3 linked regions of the Arabidopsis thaliana genome follow. The protein of the gene in region 2 interacts with the protein of the main gene of each other region in a pairwise test. Each region holds a gene or a part of one and is shown on either strand. Other genes may lie near its edges.

Region 1 (7,727 bases), on a different chromosome or scaffold from region 2:
GCACGACCGGCGGCGCGTAACATACCTCCGCCGCCACCCATAGGCCCTCTTCCTCCACCAAACATAGAGAGATCACTATCAAATTGTTTTTACTTACACGACAGGTTGCGTATGTTTACTCGGTGAGTTTGTCTTTTGGTCCGATGCTATTTCGTAGGCTTTTTACTTGAAGCAGTTTTGATTGAATCGAGGAAGTGGATAAATGCGAAATGTCTTTTATAGATTTTCAGGAATATATGACTTTCTTTACTTTGCTTTGGTCCTTCTTCTCCACGACACGCTTATCCGTTTACTCTGTTTTCTTTTTTTCCATTAAATGCATTAAAATACTACTCCACTGTTGTTATAATAATAATTGTTTCAATACTGGATTATATATCCCAAATTTATTTGGTACGTCAGCATATGAGTTTCCAAAAACGAAATAAAAACATAATAAAAAAAAAAGAGACTATGCTTTATTATAACTAAAGGTGTACATAGATCAAATCATAAAATTTCATATTCAATTTGGATAATTTGGATGTGGTTAAAAACCTAAAAGTCTAAAACCAGTACGTAATAGTAGTTTTCTTTTTTTCCGTGTAACATATGTATGGGTTTATATAAACCAAAACATATTTGTAGGTCTTTTTCATTTTGAGTTTCGGTAGCGTTTTCAATTGGATTTTATTTGAATTTTAATCCAAAATAATGGATTTTTATCATAGTTAGACAAAAATTTCACGGAATTTATGGGTAAATAGTTTTTCTTTTGTTCGTGAATGTCAACGAACATAGGCATTTTTAGTGTGGTCAAACTATGTTTAAGTTGATGTGTGTATGTATCTGACAGGTAAGTCTGTTGTTTTGCAAACATGTTTTCAATATCATTCTTTACCAAAAAATGATATTTTCATATTACAAAGCAGATTATTTTAGAGTAACTTTGTAAACTATTCAAAACAAATGTGTACACAAAGGTTACTTTTGCATTTAAACCTTTATGTAATTAATAAATCAAGTCATTTCAGCCATTAATAAATTAAGATATTTGTATCTAATTCAACATTGTAAATTATCATATTTAAAAGTTCTTCCACTATCAAATTTCATCATCGCCATATAATTAGAGTTTCTACACTCGATCATGTATTAAAAGAAGATCTTGACCACACACACAACAAAAGAAACAAATTGTAAGAAAATACCCATTTGCAAATTTCCTATTAATAAGTTATAAATAAATTATATGTCATTTGCTATTTACTAATGTCATTTATCCAGTTTTCATTGGACAAACTCTGCCTTTTTCGTCCATTTTTTTCTTAAAAAAAGATGGCCATTCATAGTAAAAAGAATATTATGTAGTGCAACACAATATTGATATATATTCTTATATTTTTGACAGAATTTGTTCTTTAGTTTTTGCATCAAACAAAACGAGAATGGAGAAAATAATCATTGATATATTGACCTGAACACTAGTCGTTTACATTCAGAATACACAATAGTAATACGAATACTAGACTCAAGAGCATGAAAACTCCAAAACCAATTTGAAAGTGGGAAGACATTTCGTACGGAAAAAAGGAGAATCAACATAAGAAAATAATAATAGATTTTAAGTTTATAGAGATATTAGATAATTGAAATTTGAAAATAATGTGTCCTGATCGAATATTTCATGATGAATGACTACAGGGGATGAAGATTTTAGCGTCGAGACAAGACAAGTTTAAAATTCGAGTTTTTTCCACCTTTTATCATCAATCATCAAGGAACAATGACATGCCAATTCGTTTTCCATAAGTAACTTTTAATGTTTTTAGCTTCTATAGATACTTTGAATGCTTTTATTCTAAAAGGTCTTTGTTGACAAGGTCAAAGAGCCTAATCGAATCCTCTTGATCAGCCAGAGAGTTTTGCCTTCGTCTTTGGATTTTGCCAAAATTGGTTACTTAATCAGCCAGAGGTTAAAACTCGTAAACCGGCGTTTAAATTGAACCGGCCAAATCACGGTTCAAATGCGAACCAATGTTGTAGGTGAACTCTACCAAAGTCTTGTACCACTCCACTATGCATAAAGGGGAGGAGACAAAAAGACGTGAGGAAGACATAGATCATGCGTGCAACTATGGCCAAACTCGATATAATAATGGCGTTGAGGAATGTAGTTAAATACCAAATAATTAGGGAATTAAGAGATAAACTATGATTAAACTAATAGTCAAGGCCTAAGGTTGGAGAAAACTTCTTTCTTTTAGAACACACTCTCCTTCTGTCACTCTGATAATGAAGAAAATTCAGGCGAGAGAACAAAAGAGTATATACCCAGGACTGATCCTCCTTTGACCATTAACATGACCAACTTGTCTCATTTTCTTATTATTTTTGATGCTTCTTTTCAAATCTTTTTTAGATTCTCTGGTTATAAGAACCCATTGTTTGTATCTGAGATTAGCAGCACCAACGTGGGTCTTCATCTTCTTCTTCTGCTGCTCTCTTTATTTTCTGAAATTGATTGCTCTGTGAAATGGAAGCTTCCACCATTTCTTCTCTCAATTTTTGTATTGGGTTTGACTAAAGTCGCATCCTTTATTTACCAGGTAGGTTCAATTTCTGGTTTTCTTGTTTAACTCTATGCCCTGAAGATGGTCCCTTTGATTGACTTGATCAATGTTTCATAACCTTTCGAATTCTCTGCAATTGCATTGTGCTCAAAGTTGACATTTTTATTGGAAAGTTTGAGTTTTTTTTTTTATCTTTATAAGAAGCTAGCTATTTGTTAGCTTCGATGGTCGTTGAGTGTTGTTGCTTTACGATCCTTTTGGTCGTCCAAATTAGACTCTGAGACATTTGACTTTCAACGCTATTAAGAGTATCTCATGATCGGTATACCTCCGTTAGATTCTGTCAATACTTATTATTATTTGCCTTTTCGGTTTGATGAGTTGATATTCAACATTCAGCTATGTGAGTTCAAATATAATTACTGTCTGTTGATTCCCACTGACTGGAGAGTTTTAGCTTTCCCTTTCTTTCATGTTATCTCTACTTTAGGAACAAAACACTCTTTTTAGAACATTGTTTTGCAGTGTCTGAAATGGTTGTAGTGTGCAGGGTCAATAGAAACAAGAACACAAAAGATTAACAATGAGTAGATCACCAGACAAGCTTGCTCTTCCTCCTCCTCCTCCTCCTCCCCCATCTCGTACCGTCGTTGTGGCTCTAAGTGGGAGCAGTAAAAGCAAATATGTAGTTACATGGGCGATCGAAAAATTTGCTACTGAAGGAAATGTTGGCTTCAAGCTGCTTCACATCCATCCAATGATTACTTCTGTACCTACACCAAGTAAAGTTCCAACTATGCCTTGTATTTCTGTTTCTTTCTTTCTTGTACTCAGGACTTCTTCCTGTGTTTCCCTTTTTTCTATTTGGTATTGTTGTGTAAAACAAAATCAAGACTTATTGTAACTGATAAAAAGCCTGATGTACATTTCTTGCTCCTTCTCAAGTGGGAAATGCAATCCCGATTTCCGAGGTACGAGATGATGTAGTAACTGCATATAGACAGGAAATACTGTGGCAGTCTGAAGAAATGCTTAAACCTTACACAAAACTGTTCGTGCGGAGAAAGGTATTTTCTTTGGTATAATGAGATATCTTACGCTCTTCTTTAATGAAAATTTCAAGGTTACATGAACTCATTGAATTACCTTAATGAAAGGTTGCAGTAGAAGTTCTTGTGATCGAATCAGATAATGTGGCAGCCGCAATAGCTGAAGAAGTGACTCGGGATTCAATAGACAGAATTGTCATTGGAGGCTCATCCCGTAGTTTTTTCTCAAGGTACACTACCACCCTGCTGCTAGCTTTCGACCTTTGTTCTTTCTATTCCGTGTACCAATGAATCTGTTTTGAAAATTCCAGGAAAGCTGATATTTGCTCGGTGATATCAGCTTTGATGCCAAACTTTTGTACAGTCTATGTTGTTTCAAAAGGTAAATTGTCATGCGTCCGACCATCAGACTCAGACGGAAATGCTACTATAAGAGAAGATGGTAGTGAGAGAACAAATTCTTCAAGCGGTTCTTCTGGTCCCACCTCAGGTCCATGACTCATCAATGTATTTGTGTGAATACTCTACTAGAAATGGTGTGTATATCTAATTCTGTTACCCCATTTTCTCTTCTAGATTCATCAGATGTAATGTCAAGTGCGCATGACTCTCAATCTCGTCCTCTATCCCTTCCGGTCAGGAGAATGCAACATTTCCCTGCAATTGCAGGACAGGCATCAGTTCCAATGGAAACGAGTTCTGTTGGCTCGGATGAAACCAGGTGCATGTCTTTGGATGCAGAGGAAGCTAGAGATGTTTCAAGTATCAATAGAAGCAGCACAGATACTACATCACGTTGGACTCCTCGGCGTAGAGATTATGAGGAGAGAAAAGAAGCTATGAGTTCTTCTTCGAGCAACCGTGAATACGGGAATTTTGGTACTAGGTTTAGTTGGAGTGGCATGGGTGTCGATACTACACACTCTCGGGCTTCTCAACAAGCTTCCAACATGTCTGATGCTCTAAGTGAACAATCCTATACAGACAACCAGGTATAAAATGGAGTTTTAATTTCGACATTGTCTTGTGAATCGGAATAATATAAGATTATTTGTTCAGGTAAACCTAAACTTTGAGGTTGAGAAGTTGAGAGCTGAGCTTAGACACGTTCAAGAAATGTATGCTGTGGCTCAAACCGAAACCTTTGATGCTTCTCGAAAGGTGAAGGCCTCATAATATCATATATCTTTGCATTTGATGAAACTTATTAAATTGTGCTCAATGCTTTTCTGAAAATGTTTCAGCTTGGTGAACTTAACCAACGTCGGTTAGAAGAAGCCATAAAGCTTGAAGAGCTAAAGCTGAAGGAGTATGAAGCTCGAGAGTTAGCAGAAAAGGAAAAGCAGAATTTTGAGAAGGCAAGGAGAGATGCAGAGAGCATGAGAGAAAGAGCAGAGAGAGAAATTGCGCAGAGAAGAGAAGCCGAAAGGAAATCCGCACGTGATACTAAAGAGAAAGAGAAGCTCGAGGGCACTCTCGGGTCTCCTCAGCTGCAATATCAGCACTTTGCTTGGGAAGAAATTATGGCTGCCACTTCATCATTCTCAGAAGAACTGAAGATCGGAATGGGAGCTTACGGAGCTGTTTACAAGTGTAATCTGCATCATACAACTGCAGTTGTCAAAGTTTTGCAGTCAGCTGAAAATCAACTTTCCAAACAATTCCAACAAGAGGTATGGAAGTGAGCTCAAATTTGGTTTAAGGAACTTTGTTTGAGATTTTGTGCCTTTCACTATATGGAAGTTTTCTGATTTTAATTTCAATTCTTGTGGATAAGAGTCTACATTTATCTCACTGGCCTCTCTAATTTGCAGCTCGAAATCTTGAGCAAGATTAGGCATCCACATTTGGTTCTCCTTCTAGGAGCGTGCCCGGAGCAAGGTGCTTTAGTTTATGAGTACATGGAAAACGGTAGCTTGGAGGACAGACTTTTCCAGGTCAACAACAGTCCGCCACTCCCGTGGTTTGAGCGGTTTAGGATTGCTTGGGAAGTTGCAGCGGCTCTTGTCTTCCTCCACAAATCAAAGCCTAAACCAATCATTCACCGTGATCTTAAACCTGCAAACATCTTACTTGATCACAACTTTGTCAGCAAAGTTGGAGACGTGGGACTCTCAACGATGGTTCAAGTCGATCCTCTATCAACTAAATTCACTATATACAAACAAACAAGCCCCGTGGGAACGTTATGCTATATTGATCCGGAATATCAGCGCACTGGAAGGATATCATCGAAATCAGATATCTACTCCTTTGGAATGATTCTTCTTCAGCTTCTCACAGCAAAACCTGCTATTGCATTGACACATTTCGTTGAGAGCGCAATGGATAGTAATGATGAGTTCCTTAAGATCTTAGATCAGAAAGCCGGTAACTGGCCGATTGAAGAAACCCGGGAATTGGCCGCATTAGCTTTGTGTTGTACAGAGCTACGCGGGAAAGATAGACCTGATTTGAAAGATCAGATTCTTCCAGCGCTCGAAAACCTAAAGAAAGTAGCTGAAAAGGCAAGGAACTCATTTTCCGGCGTATCGACACAGCCTCCCACTCATTTCATCTGCCCATTACTTAAGGTAAACTCTATATAAAACCTTGTTCAATGTTGAAACATCTCATCTCAGTGTGTTGTGGTGAAAATGTGTGAGCTTGTGTGGTATAATGCAGGACGTGATGAACGAGCCGTGCGTTGCAGCAGACGGATACACATACGACCGTCATGCGATAGAGGAGTGGCTTAAGGAGCACAACACATCGCCGATGACGGATTCACCGTTGCATAGCAAGAACCTTTTACCCAATTATACTCTTTACACAGCCATCATGGAATGGAGGTCTACACGATAGTAGTAAGCCAAACTGTGTAGCGTTTTTGTGGATATATAAACGGCAAGACGTTTTGCTTTGTACTACTACTACACACATGCTGAATCAAAAATATAAACCGAAACGAAACCTTAATCATCTTGTAAACGAATATTCGGATCCATCCGTTAATTTGCCTCCAAATAAGAACACAAAACCATTGCCCTTTATTTTTCATTTTGGTATTTTGGTCTTTTTTGTCTCTCTTCCTTTCCATTGCCCAAAAAGAAACAGAAACTTTTCTCCGAGAATCCTCATTTCTCCGTTGAAAAAAGGACCTTGAGAGGAAATGTTTCACTGTTTCTAGGGTTCTTATAATCCACTTCCTCATCATTAGAGAATGGAAAATCTCCTCTTCTCTTTGATATTTCTTCGGATTTCGCTTATGTCCTGAATCTCTTGAAGACCCAATTGAAAAAATCTCAACTTTTTTTCTCCCGGCGTTTCCGGCGATATACAATGCGGATTCTCGTGAATCTCATTCTCTTCTCCTTGATTCCTCTGGCGTTCTCCAATGAAAACTCCAGCTCGTATCTCATTGCGCGACCATTGATCTTCGAAACCCAGCTCAAGAACATAAACGACAATGTCAATCTACATTGCACGAGCTGGAGATTCGCGGCGGAGACAAACAATCTCGCTCCATGGAAAACCATTCCAGCTGAATGCGCCGATTACGTGAAAGATTACCTGATGGGTGAAGGTTACGTCGTCGATGTGGAGAGAGTCTCCGAAGAAGCTAAGGTTTACGCGAGCAGCTTCGAATCTAACGGTGACGGGAAAGACATTTGGATTTTCGATATTGATGAGACGTTATTGTCGAATCTTCCTTATTACATGGAACACGGTTGTGGGTAATTTATCTTAAATCTTTCATTTTACAACATTGCTATAAAAAGTTGGTTCCTTGATAATTGTATAGATGGATTTGTCTTTTTACTATGTCGAATTAGTTAAGATTTGAGGTATGTGTTGTTGTCTGTCTTTTTCTTTGCTTGTTTGTCTATGTATGATAAATGTGAATGTTTGTTCTGTTTGGGAATTTGCAGGTTGGAAGTTTTTGATCATTCAAAGTTTGATATGTGGGTAGAGAAAGGGATAGCACCTGCTATAGCACCAAGCTTGAAGCTTTACCAAAAGGTTATACATTTGGGGTACAAAGTTATCTTGCTTACAGGGCGTAGAGAGAACCACCGGGTTATCACTGTCGAAAACCTGCGCAATGCCGGTTTCCATAACTGGGACAAGCTTATTCTGAGGTATG
Region 2 (4,911 bases):
AAATCAAAAGAATAGCGTATTAAAATACTAATTTTATTGGATTAACTTAATTTGATGAAAATGTCTCTTAATATTTATGGCGATATGTATGTTGGTTGGACTTTGAAATTGTTTTTATAGATTTAATAAGATGAACATTTTGTTCTTGCTTGAGAGTGGCTGGGTACACAATTTTTTTCACTTTGTTCATGCTAAAATTCAGTTTTGTCTTCTTATATTTACATCTAAGTTTATGTTTGATTATCTGAAACCCAAATTATCAAGTATTTTACGATTTTTTGAAATAAACGAAATCTGTTTATTTCCTTATTCAAATTTTATAAAATTTTGTAAGAGTGATTTGATTGAAAATGGACAACATTTGGAGACATTTTCAAAAAAAAATGTTATAAAAGGTTATTTTAAAATGCTTTCAAAAATATCAATATAATAAAGAGCGTGATTATATTTTAATTCAGAATTATTTAAGTGATCGAAAATATCATAAATTTTGTATAATTAGAGCATTTGTTCTGATATGCGACATATTTTACTATAATTTTATAGGAACCATATAAATTTAATTTTTTAACTAATTCCAGTTGCACATTTGTTTAGATGAAAATGATTTGATTGCTGCATGATATAATTTATTTACATTTAAGCATATATTTTATTCTATTTTGATGAATTGTGTGGTATTTTCGTACTTAAATTTTGATATATTGTATGTAATTGTACAACATACTCAATCATATGTTATTACTTCTAATAATTTGAATATGGACATACTCAGAAAGGTATCAAGGGCTCTTTCTCTAGCTATTGTTTCTCATATAATCTTTTCAAAATCATATATCATCACCAACTATACTCATCATTCTCGGGTACTATGAGCTCTAACTAGTGGAATGGTACTAGAACTTTGACACACCGTCTAGTTGAGATTATAGAAATTAAAGATTATGTTATATATAGTAGAAACAAAGTAGGCCAAATTCTTATAGAAAAGAATAAACAAAATTAATATAAAAGATAAATGAAAAAACGGTCTTGAATTATAAACAATTTGCTAGGTGTGATTCAACATTGTCTTTATTCAATACTTGTTGGGTCATAAACATTCAAATTGCATATTATTGTTACTCTAGTATTCAAATTGCATATTATGTTTTATCTAAACTAACTTATATATTTATTTTGATAAACATGTCATATGATATTAAACTTATTTTCAATTGATCATCTTCTAAGTTGATGCATTTTAGTATTTTATATTCAAATTTTGAGATCTTAGTATGTAATATATTTTCAGGTTTTTACTATTCATCAGTTTGATGATGCAAATATACATAGTACGAATAAAATGAGTGAAATTGTTTAATTATATGATCAGGAAGAAAAAATAATATTCCAAAATCCAAATTTTAGTGGGTAATTCTTAGCACAAAAACAAATTTTGTTTCCAAATATATCACATATTTTTCAATGTTCCACAAATAGCATTAATTGTTGAAATTTGTTATGAATAAGAATATGTTCTATAACATTATATGAATTAGAATTATCAATAGATAAAGTGTGTCAACTCAAATCGCTAAATTGTTGAAAACAATTTAATAATATATTCATTTAATATATTCTCATGTCAATATGATATGATTAGATCTATTTAGTGAGATCTTATTTAATTGTTAATTCTAATAAAACAAAAATAGTGATTATATTACTAATAAATAATATAATTGTTTAATCTTATTTTATGGAACTGTATTTCTCAACTTCAATTAAATACTGTACCTAAACCTAAAATTAAATATGCAATCAACTTGATTAATAAAAAACAACAAAATGGGGTAAGAAGTAAACAACGTTGTTAAACAAGACACGCGCTCACCAGTCGCGAGTTTGGCAATAATCATGAAATGAGCTTCTTTAAAAAAACTTTCTAGTAGATAAATTAAACAATTAAAAATCTCCGACAAGATTTAACAAAGAACAGATAATATCTTCTCCGCAAAGACAAAAGTGAAAGCGAAGAAGAAATCCTCCACGTGTCATTAGCATCTTTTAACCTGAGCCACATGATACTAGTTTCTCGAAACCCCTCTTTACGCTTTTTCACCCAAATTTTTATAAAAAGAAAAACATTATGCTTACGTGGCTTATCTTCTTCTTGCTCTTTTAAAGTAACCCCTTGACTCTGCTCCTTTCATAAACAACAACTCTCTCACCAATCTCAAAACAATTCTCTCTCTCTTTATTCTTCTTCTTCAGCTTCAGATTTCAGATCTTAAATCTTCAAGTCTTCTTCTTCTTCTTCTGCAACCATGGCTATGCAGGTTTGAGATCTATCTTCTTTGTTATTCTTTATGCAATCTTGATCTTGGTTTTGTTACTGTTGTTATGTTTCAAGTCTTGTGGAATCCAGACAGATTTAACCTAAACTTAGGTTTATGTCCGAGAGAAAATAGGTTATTTTGTTATCTAATTTCAAGTTTAATCTCTTTGTCTGAGAGAACTTGGAACTGAAGATTATTCGATTGTGGCAGGTTAAAAATTGTGTTAATAGACCAGGCGATTATGTGGGATATTATGGTCGGTTGTTTTAAAGAGAGATTACTTCTTTCTTAATGTATTGATCCGTATTAGGTAAGAACATGTCTCTAATCCCCTAATTATTACTGGTGGTCTACCTCTTCTAGTTGCGTATTAATTAGTTTTATTAGACTCTTTGTAACATTTAATTACTCTTACAATATATTAAGAGACTAATTGTGTTTTCTTACTTTGTGATTATAGGAACGTTGTGAGAGTTTATGTTCTGATGAACTTATATCTTCCTCAGATGCCTTTTACCTCAAGGTACTAATTTTGTTTCTTAATCTCTTGTTTACTCTTGATTGGTTTTGAACTTAAATATGAGGTTAATTTAGGGTTTGTTTTGTTTATAGACAAGAAAGCCTTATACCATCACTAAACAAAGAGAGAAATGGACAGAAGCAGAGCATGAGAAGTTTGTAGAAGCATTGAAACTCTATGGCAGAGCTTGGAGACGAATCGAAGGTGTGTGTGCTTATCTGACTTTAGAGAGTCTAATGCACATTCTAATCTAAGTTTGATGAAGATATAAGAAAACTACTTGGACCCTAGTAATGAGTAGAGATCTGACTTTTGTTGGTTCTTCTATGGAACAGAACATGTTGGAACAAAAACTGCAGTTCAGATTCGAAGCCATGCGCAGAAGTTCTTTACTAAGGTTTGCCTTCTTGCAGACCCTTATACATGAAAAAGTTTCAACCTCTTCGTGTTAAGCAAGGTCTAATTCAAGTTTTTCTTATTAGGTTGCTCGCGATTTTGGTGTTAGCTCTGAGTCCATTGAGATCCCGCCTCCAAGGCCAAAGAGAAAGCCGATGCATCCTTACCCTAGAAAGCTTGTGATTCCTGATGCAAAAGAGATGGTATACGCTGAACTAACCGGATCCAAGCTGATTCAGGATGAAGATAACCGATCTCCAACATCGGTTTTATCAGCTCATGGCTCAGATGGATTAGGTTCCATTGGTTCAAATTCACCTAACTCTTCTTCAGCTGAGTTATCATCTCACACAGAGGAATCATTGTCTCTAGAAGCAGAGACCAAACAGAGCCTTAAGCTCTTTGGAAAAACTTTTGTAGTTGGTGATTACAACTCTTCAATGAGTTGTGATGATTCTGAAGATGGCAAGAAGAAGCTATACTCAGAAACACAGTCTCTTCAATGTTCTTCTTCTACTTCAGAAAACGCTGAAACAGAAGTGGTAGTGTCGGAGTTCAAAAGAAGTGAGAGATCAGCTTTCTCTCAGTTAAAATCGTCGGTGACTGAGATGAACAACATGAGAGGGTTCATGCCTTACAAAAAGAGAGTAAAGGTGGAAGAAAACATTGACAATGTAAAATTATCATATCCTTTGTGGTGAAGTGTTCGTTTGTGTCAAGTCAGTTGTGTAAACTCTTTTGATCTCAACATCAGATTATGTGTATAATGTCAGAGTATTAGGGAAAGTTTTTTTGGATTAGATTCGTAAGATCACTCCAAAGTTTCGTGTCTTTCCATATAACCAGTTAGAAATTGAGATCCTTGTACTTAAACATTTTTATTTGATCAATCAAATCTTCTTGATAACTCTAAATTGTTGTACATAATAGTAGTCTCTATCAAGCATTTCATTCGAAAGGATTAACAAAAAAGATTAGGTTTACAAAAAATACATCAAAAGCAAATGTTTGAAACATAGAAACAAGTAATGCATCATAAACCCTAAGACTAGCTTCAAGTCTCTGTGACGGTTTCACTCTGTTTCAAGATCTTCCTCGTACGGTACTCGTCGACACAAAGGACACGACCTCTGACGCTTAAGCCACTCAAAGATACAATTTTGATGGAACAAATGGAAACAGTCAGGTAACAGAATGATGTTATCATCATGACTCTCCGAAAAGTCCTCCAAACAAATCGAACAAGTGGTTTCTTCTTCATCTCCCAAATCAGTCAATTCCATTGTTTGTTCCTCAAGCAATCTTTGAAACGTATCTGTCGACCTAACAGCAATAGACGAGAACATAACATCTCTTGTCACTTCCACGTATAAGGACACACTAAAAGGTTGGGGAATATGAGCACAATCCAAAACGATCCTTTCGCTCAACAATCGACAAAACTCAGTATGTGTGATGAACTCGTCAAGGTCTTGATAGATGTGATGTGAACTGAGACATGATGGTTTCAATTCGATTTTAGTCATAAGTGGAGCCGCGAACGTTCCCAAACACATTACGACACCGTTTTGATCTTCAGCTAACTCGTTGACCACATCTTGTAGATTGACGAACACGGTGTTTCTAAACCCTTGATCTTGTGGTAGGATCATTGCTGTTGTAGTAATCTTTACG
Region 3 (4,737 bases), 8.2 Mb from region 2:
GTGTTAATGTGGAAGAAAGTTTTGAAGCAGAAGCTGAAATATTATACTCTTTGAATGACATTACTCAGAGCCAAGTGGCAATGATGGAGAGACAAAGTGAAGTGTTGTCGTTGGTGCAAAAGAATCAAAAGATGCTAATGCAGATGCAAAAACAAATGATGATGTTAATGCAGCAGAAAGATCATGTGTTAGCACACTCCGAATCTTATGAGGAGGAGATGACAAAAGTGATCGAGTCTATGGAGAAACACTACTTGAAGAAAAAGTAGTTTTGTTTATTTTTGTTTGGTTTTGGTTTTTTCTTTGTTTGGTGTTCCTGAAAGTTGATTAATTACTGATCATGGATTCATTCATAAAATTCGTCTTTGCATAAATTGTGGACTTCAACTTTTGGTAATTGTGAGACTTCTTACTCGAAACAGAGACTTATTATATTTTGTCACCTCTTAAAACAGAGAAAAACAGAGAAGTATCGATTTAGAGATCAAAAGAATGTGATGTGTGCTGTTATTGTGGATGAAGAGCATTTGCATAATGTTCTAATTTGGTAGTTTTTTTCCTTCAATAATATATGATATAGTGAGCAACATCTTTAGAATATGTTTAGTAAATTTTTGTAAAACAAATTGACCTACCTCACCAAAAACAAACTTCATTGGACCAGAATTAAGTAGCCATTAGGATCAAATCAACAATAATATACTATTTATGTGATGAAATATGAATCCCCATCATTGTCCTATATGAATCAACATTTAATATATTTTAATTAGTCGAATCTTAAAAATGAATCCCAGTCATATTATCTTTATGTATGTAGAAGAAGATATAATCAACATTAAATAGATTATTATAGTACATCAACATGAATACCCCATCTTGTCATATTATATGTATGTGGGATAGAATCAACATGAATCCACATTCAGTATTCAAATTAGAAATGATCGTAGGCTATGACTCTAAAGTTAATTTTAATTTATATGATGAATGCGAGTACCCCCATTATAGATTCATACTATACATTATTTTATATGATCAAATATGAATCATCATCATTGTTCTCCTATACTTGCTCTTCATTCCGAATGTAGCAATAGAATCTCCATATTGCTTTTTACCAATTCTAACCATAAACAATTCATAGATAAATGCATGTTGGGTAGTGCTTTGTCTACTAGTAATTAATAACATTATCGATTACAATATTTGAGCAAATCAGGCAATCTTTAAATAAAAATATGTATACGATGACTCTTCCGTCCAACTAATATATTGAAAATATTATAAGATCCAAATTATTTCATTATTTATATCAAACAAAAACAAGAAATAAATAAGACTTGTCTTTGTTCATGTAAACAAGACCACTTTGTTGTTTGTTTCTCTATTTTACAAATTTGTAAATTATATTTTTGTTATGTTTCTTTCCACATTTTTATTAGGTCATCCAACTACCCACCTCCCCAAAACTATTGGAGGATCCAAGTCCTCTCTCTCTCAACCATATATCTTATATTTCCTTTGCAAAAGGATAGCCTTTATTATTTAATACACATAGATTCCATTATTGTTATGGCTACCTCATTCTATTCTATAAAGCATACATATGAGAAGAAGAAGCAAAATATAGACTATGTGAAAGATAAATGAATATTTCATATTTGTGAGACAAATTAATTAGATTAGAATTAACATTTTGTAGCTAGTCCATATTAGTGATAAATTTCCACTTATAAAGACATATTTTCCTCTTTTGTTTTTTATACGTAAGCTTGTCTTCTTATTGGCTAAAAGTAGAAAACACCAACTTGGACAACATCATTTAAATTATAAAACCCTCCAATAAATAAAACTTGGTTTATCCAATCATCTTATTTCTCTGTGCTCTCCACCATTTTACATAAACCCCAAAATCTCTCTTCATCATCATCATTCATCAACATCATCTCTCTTTCTCTATCTCGCTGTCCCTCCTTCTCTTTCTCATTCATTGCAATGGGCAGAAGATGCTCACACTGTGGAAACGTAGGACATAACTCAAGAACATGTTCTTCTTACCAAACAAGAGTAGTTAGGCTCTTTGGTGTTCATCTAGACACCACAAGCTCTTCTCCGCCGCCTCCTCCTCCTCCCTCGATTTTGGCCGCTGCAATAAAGAAAAGTTTCAGCATGGATTGCTTGCCGGCATGTTCCTCCTCTTCCTCTTCCTTTGCTGGTTATCTCTCCGATGGTCTCGCCCATAAAACACCTGACCGCAAAAAAGGTTACAACTTTGACATATTATGCCACTTTCCGAGTTTTTTTTTACAATAGGATAGTGACGTTTTTTTATTAATCCAAAAGTTCCGGGTATTAGGCCCATAATCGATTTGTATCGGAGATCAAAACATGTTAAACTGGTCATCGGTGGGATTGGTTTTGCCATAAAGATTTTGTACGTATATCCAAGTCGGACCATTTCCTAAAGCATGCAACCGCTATATATATAAGAGTAGTCAAGAAAATGATGTGTCTATAACGCGATCTTTAGCCTAGGATTTTGTTAAAAGTTTTTCCAAAAATAATAATTTGTGTTTCCGTAATTAGGGGTTCCATGGACGGCGGAAGAGCACCGGACGTTTCTAATTGGATTAGAAAAGCTTGGAAAAGGAGATTGGAGAGGAATCTCTAGAAACTTCGTCGTCACAAAATCCCCGACACAAGTGGCAAGTCATGCTCAAAAATACTTTCTCCGGCAAACTACCACTCTCCATCACAAGAGACGCCGCACCAGCCTCTTTGATATGGCAAGTAATTCCAATCTTTTCTCTATACATGCATGACAAAAGAATTTAAACTCTTTGTATCAAACTTTTATGTATTAAATCAAAATGTTTCTGTATCCAACAAAAGTCACATCTTCAAAAGTTCAAACAGAATTTTTATGTTGTTTTAAAAGTTTTCTTTCCAAGTTTTTTTTTCCCACTTAAAATATCGGAATTTTCTAAACCAAAAATTAGTCAAGATTTTAAGTTTAATCTAAGCTTTATTTTAATACCAAGTATATATGAACATATAATTTCTTGTAGAATCCGAAGAAAAAAATAGAAAATAATCTTGAATTGACAAATTTTTATATTCAACAGGTTTCGGCCGGCAATGTTGAAGAAAATAGTACTACTAAGAGGATATGTAATGATCATATTGGGTCGAGCTCAAAGGTTGTTTGGAAACAAGGATTACTCAATCCTCGTCTTGGATATCCAGATCCGAAAGTATCAGTATCCGGCTCGGGTAACTCCGGTGGACTCGATCTTGAGCTGAAGCTTGCGTCCATTCAATCTCCTGAATCGAATATTAGACCTATTAGCGTTACGTGAATCTATATAACACGTTATGATCAGTTTCATTAGAATAATTCAAATGTTTACATATATAATATCTTATCGATCCTATCTAATTTGATTTTGATTTAACGTTAGTTACTTTGATAATTTCGTCGATATTGTTTTTTTGGTTTTTTCATTGTGAGATTTTTTGTCTTGGAAGTTGGATCCATACATATTTCTGTAAAACTTTATATTTAAGGTATATATATCTAGCGCTCATAAAAGTTTCAATATTCCTATTATACTTTTAATAAGAAAGTTTCTTACGATAGAATTAGAACGGATAAGACAATTTTGTACATAGTACAACTTGTTTGAAGTTTCTTGTTTTCTAGTTCATTAAATATTTCAAGATTCGTTTTTAAAAAAAATATTCTTTTCGAAATGTGTTTCAAAAATTTAGAATACTTTTAACATATCTAAAAATTTAGAATACTTTTAAAATTTCGTTTTTAACAGAATACTTTCACATTGTTAGTTTTCTGTTAATAAAACAATAAACACGAGTTTCAAACATAATGTAAAGATAACTTTAAGAACTGATATTGAGTCCACAAGAGCTCAATAATATTTAACACTGAATCCACTTTAACACAAAACCAAGGGTCTTTCTCAGAATTGTTATAATTTTGTTGTTGGCGAAAAAGAAAAAAGAAACAAAAAGGTCACATTTTTTACATTTCTATATTTAGTGCAAGTTGTTTAATAGTGACACTACTATTGGAAATGACCCAAAGTGACTGGACGACAAGATATTATATTATTTATGATTTTGATATATACTTCCTCTTTTCACACAAAATTTGGTTTAAAACATTATTTTGTAAGAAAATATGATCATTTTATATTTCCAATATTTTTTATCTAATTTTAATTTTAATTCTAATATTTTAATTTATTATTTACGAAGAGAAATCTATTTAAAATAACGAACGATATGTAATAGAGATTTATATATTTTTAATATGTATGAAAAATGCTAGAATAACATTTTTGTGAAGAGAATTTAAAATAGTCAAATAGTTTTTTTTTTTTTTGTCGATTAAATAGTCAAATAGTTAAATGACAAAATTCTGTGAGAGAAATTAGGTGAATGGTTATTATGCCCAGACAAATTAAGCAAATGGGCAGTACGGCAATCAAAATTTATTTATTATGATTTTCAATTAAACTTTGATCTTTGTGTAAATATATTATGTTACGGAAAATATCATTCCTCTCAATCTCTCATAAATCAAATTAATATTTTGTTAGGTCTATTTTCACATCAAAAATGTGGTATAATACCTAAAATAAATAAGAAACATGAATATTCACTAGGGAAGTTCATTTGGTCTAATGGTTAACGATCAAATTATGCGGCGTT

What was found.
Region 1: the proteins of RVE2 (region 2) and AT4G25160 interact in a two-hybrid assay, tested with the Arabidopsis thaliana proteins (one large-scale study listed by BioGRID).
Region 3: the proteins of RVE2 (region 2) and AT5G56840 interact in a two-hybrid assay, tested with the Arabidopsis thaliana proteins (one large-scale study listed by BioGRID).

Annotation. Positions count from the first base shown.
Region 1 is NC_003075.7:12,902,078-12,909,804, reverse strand, and holds AT4G25160 (U-box domain-containing protein kinase family protein), read left to right. Parts: upstream 1-2,208; 5' UTR 2,209-2,588; intron 2,589-3,102; 5' UTR 3,103-3,135; coding exon 3,136-3,334; intron 3,335-3,497; coding exon 3,498-3,619; intron 3,620-3,709; coding exon 3,710-3,831; intron 3,832-3,912; coding exon 3,913-4,091; intron 4,092-4,177; coding exon 4,178-4,593; intron 4,594-4,660; coding exon 4,661-4,762; intron 4,763-4,845; coding exon 4,846-5,274; intron 5,275-5,415; coding exon 5,416-6,174; intron 6,175-6,265; coding exon 6,266-6,445; 3' UTR 6,446-6,625; downstream 6,626-7,727. Other genes in the region: AT4G25170 (Uncharacterized conserved protein (UCP012943)), read right to left, coding at 1-65; AT4G25150 (HAD superfamily, subfamily IIIB acid phosphatase), read left to right, coding at 6,923-7,317, 7,513-7,722. UniProt on the Arabidopsis thaliana protein: Functions as an E3 ubiquitin ligase.
Region 2 is NC_003076.8:14,750,371-14,755,281, reverse strand, and holds RVE2 (Homeodomain-like superfamily protein), read left to right. Parts: upstream 1-2,193; 5' UTR 2,194-2,309; coding exon 2,310-2,321; intron 2,322-2,781; coding exon 2,782-2,844; intron 2,845-2,933; coding exon 2,934-3,045; intron 3,046-3,176; coding exon 3,177-3,238; intron 3,239-3,323; coding exon 3,324-3,938; downstream 3,939-4,911. Other genes in the region: AT5G37250 (RING/U-box superfamily protein), read right to left, coding at 4,311-4,911. UniProt on the Arabidopsis thaliana protein: Positive regulator for cold-responsive gene expression and cold tolerance. Part of a regulatory feedback loop that controls a subset of the circadian outputs and modulates the central oscillator. Negatively self-regulates its own expression.
Region 3 is NC_003076.8:22,978,791-22,983,527, forward strand, and holds AT5G56840 (myb-like transcription factor family protein), read left to right. Parts: upstream 1-1,847; 5' UTR 1,848-1,998; coding exon 1,999-2,266; intron 2,267-2,589; coding exon 2,590-2,789; intron 2,790-3,128; coding exon 3,129-3,362; 3' UTR 3,363-3,635; downstream 3,636-4,737.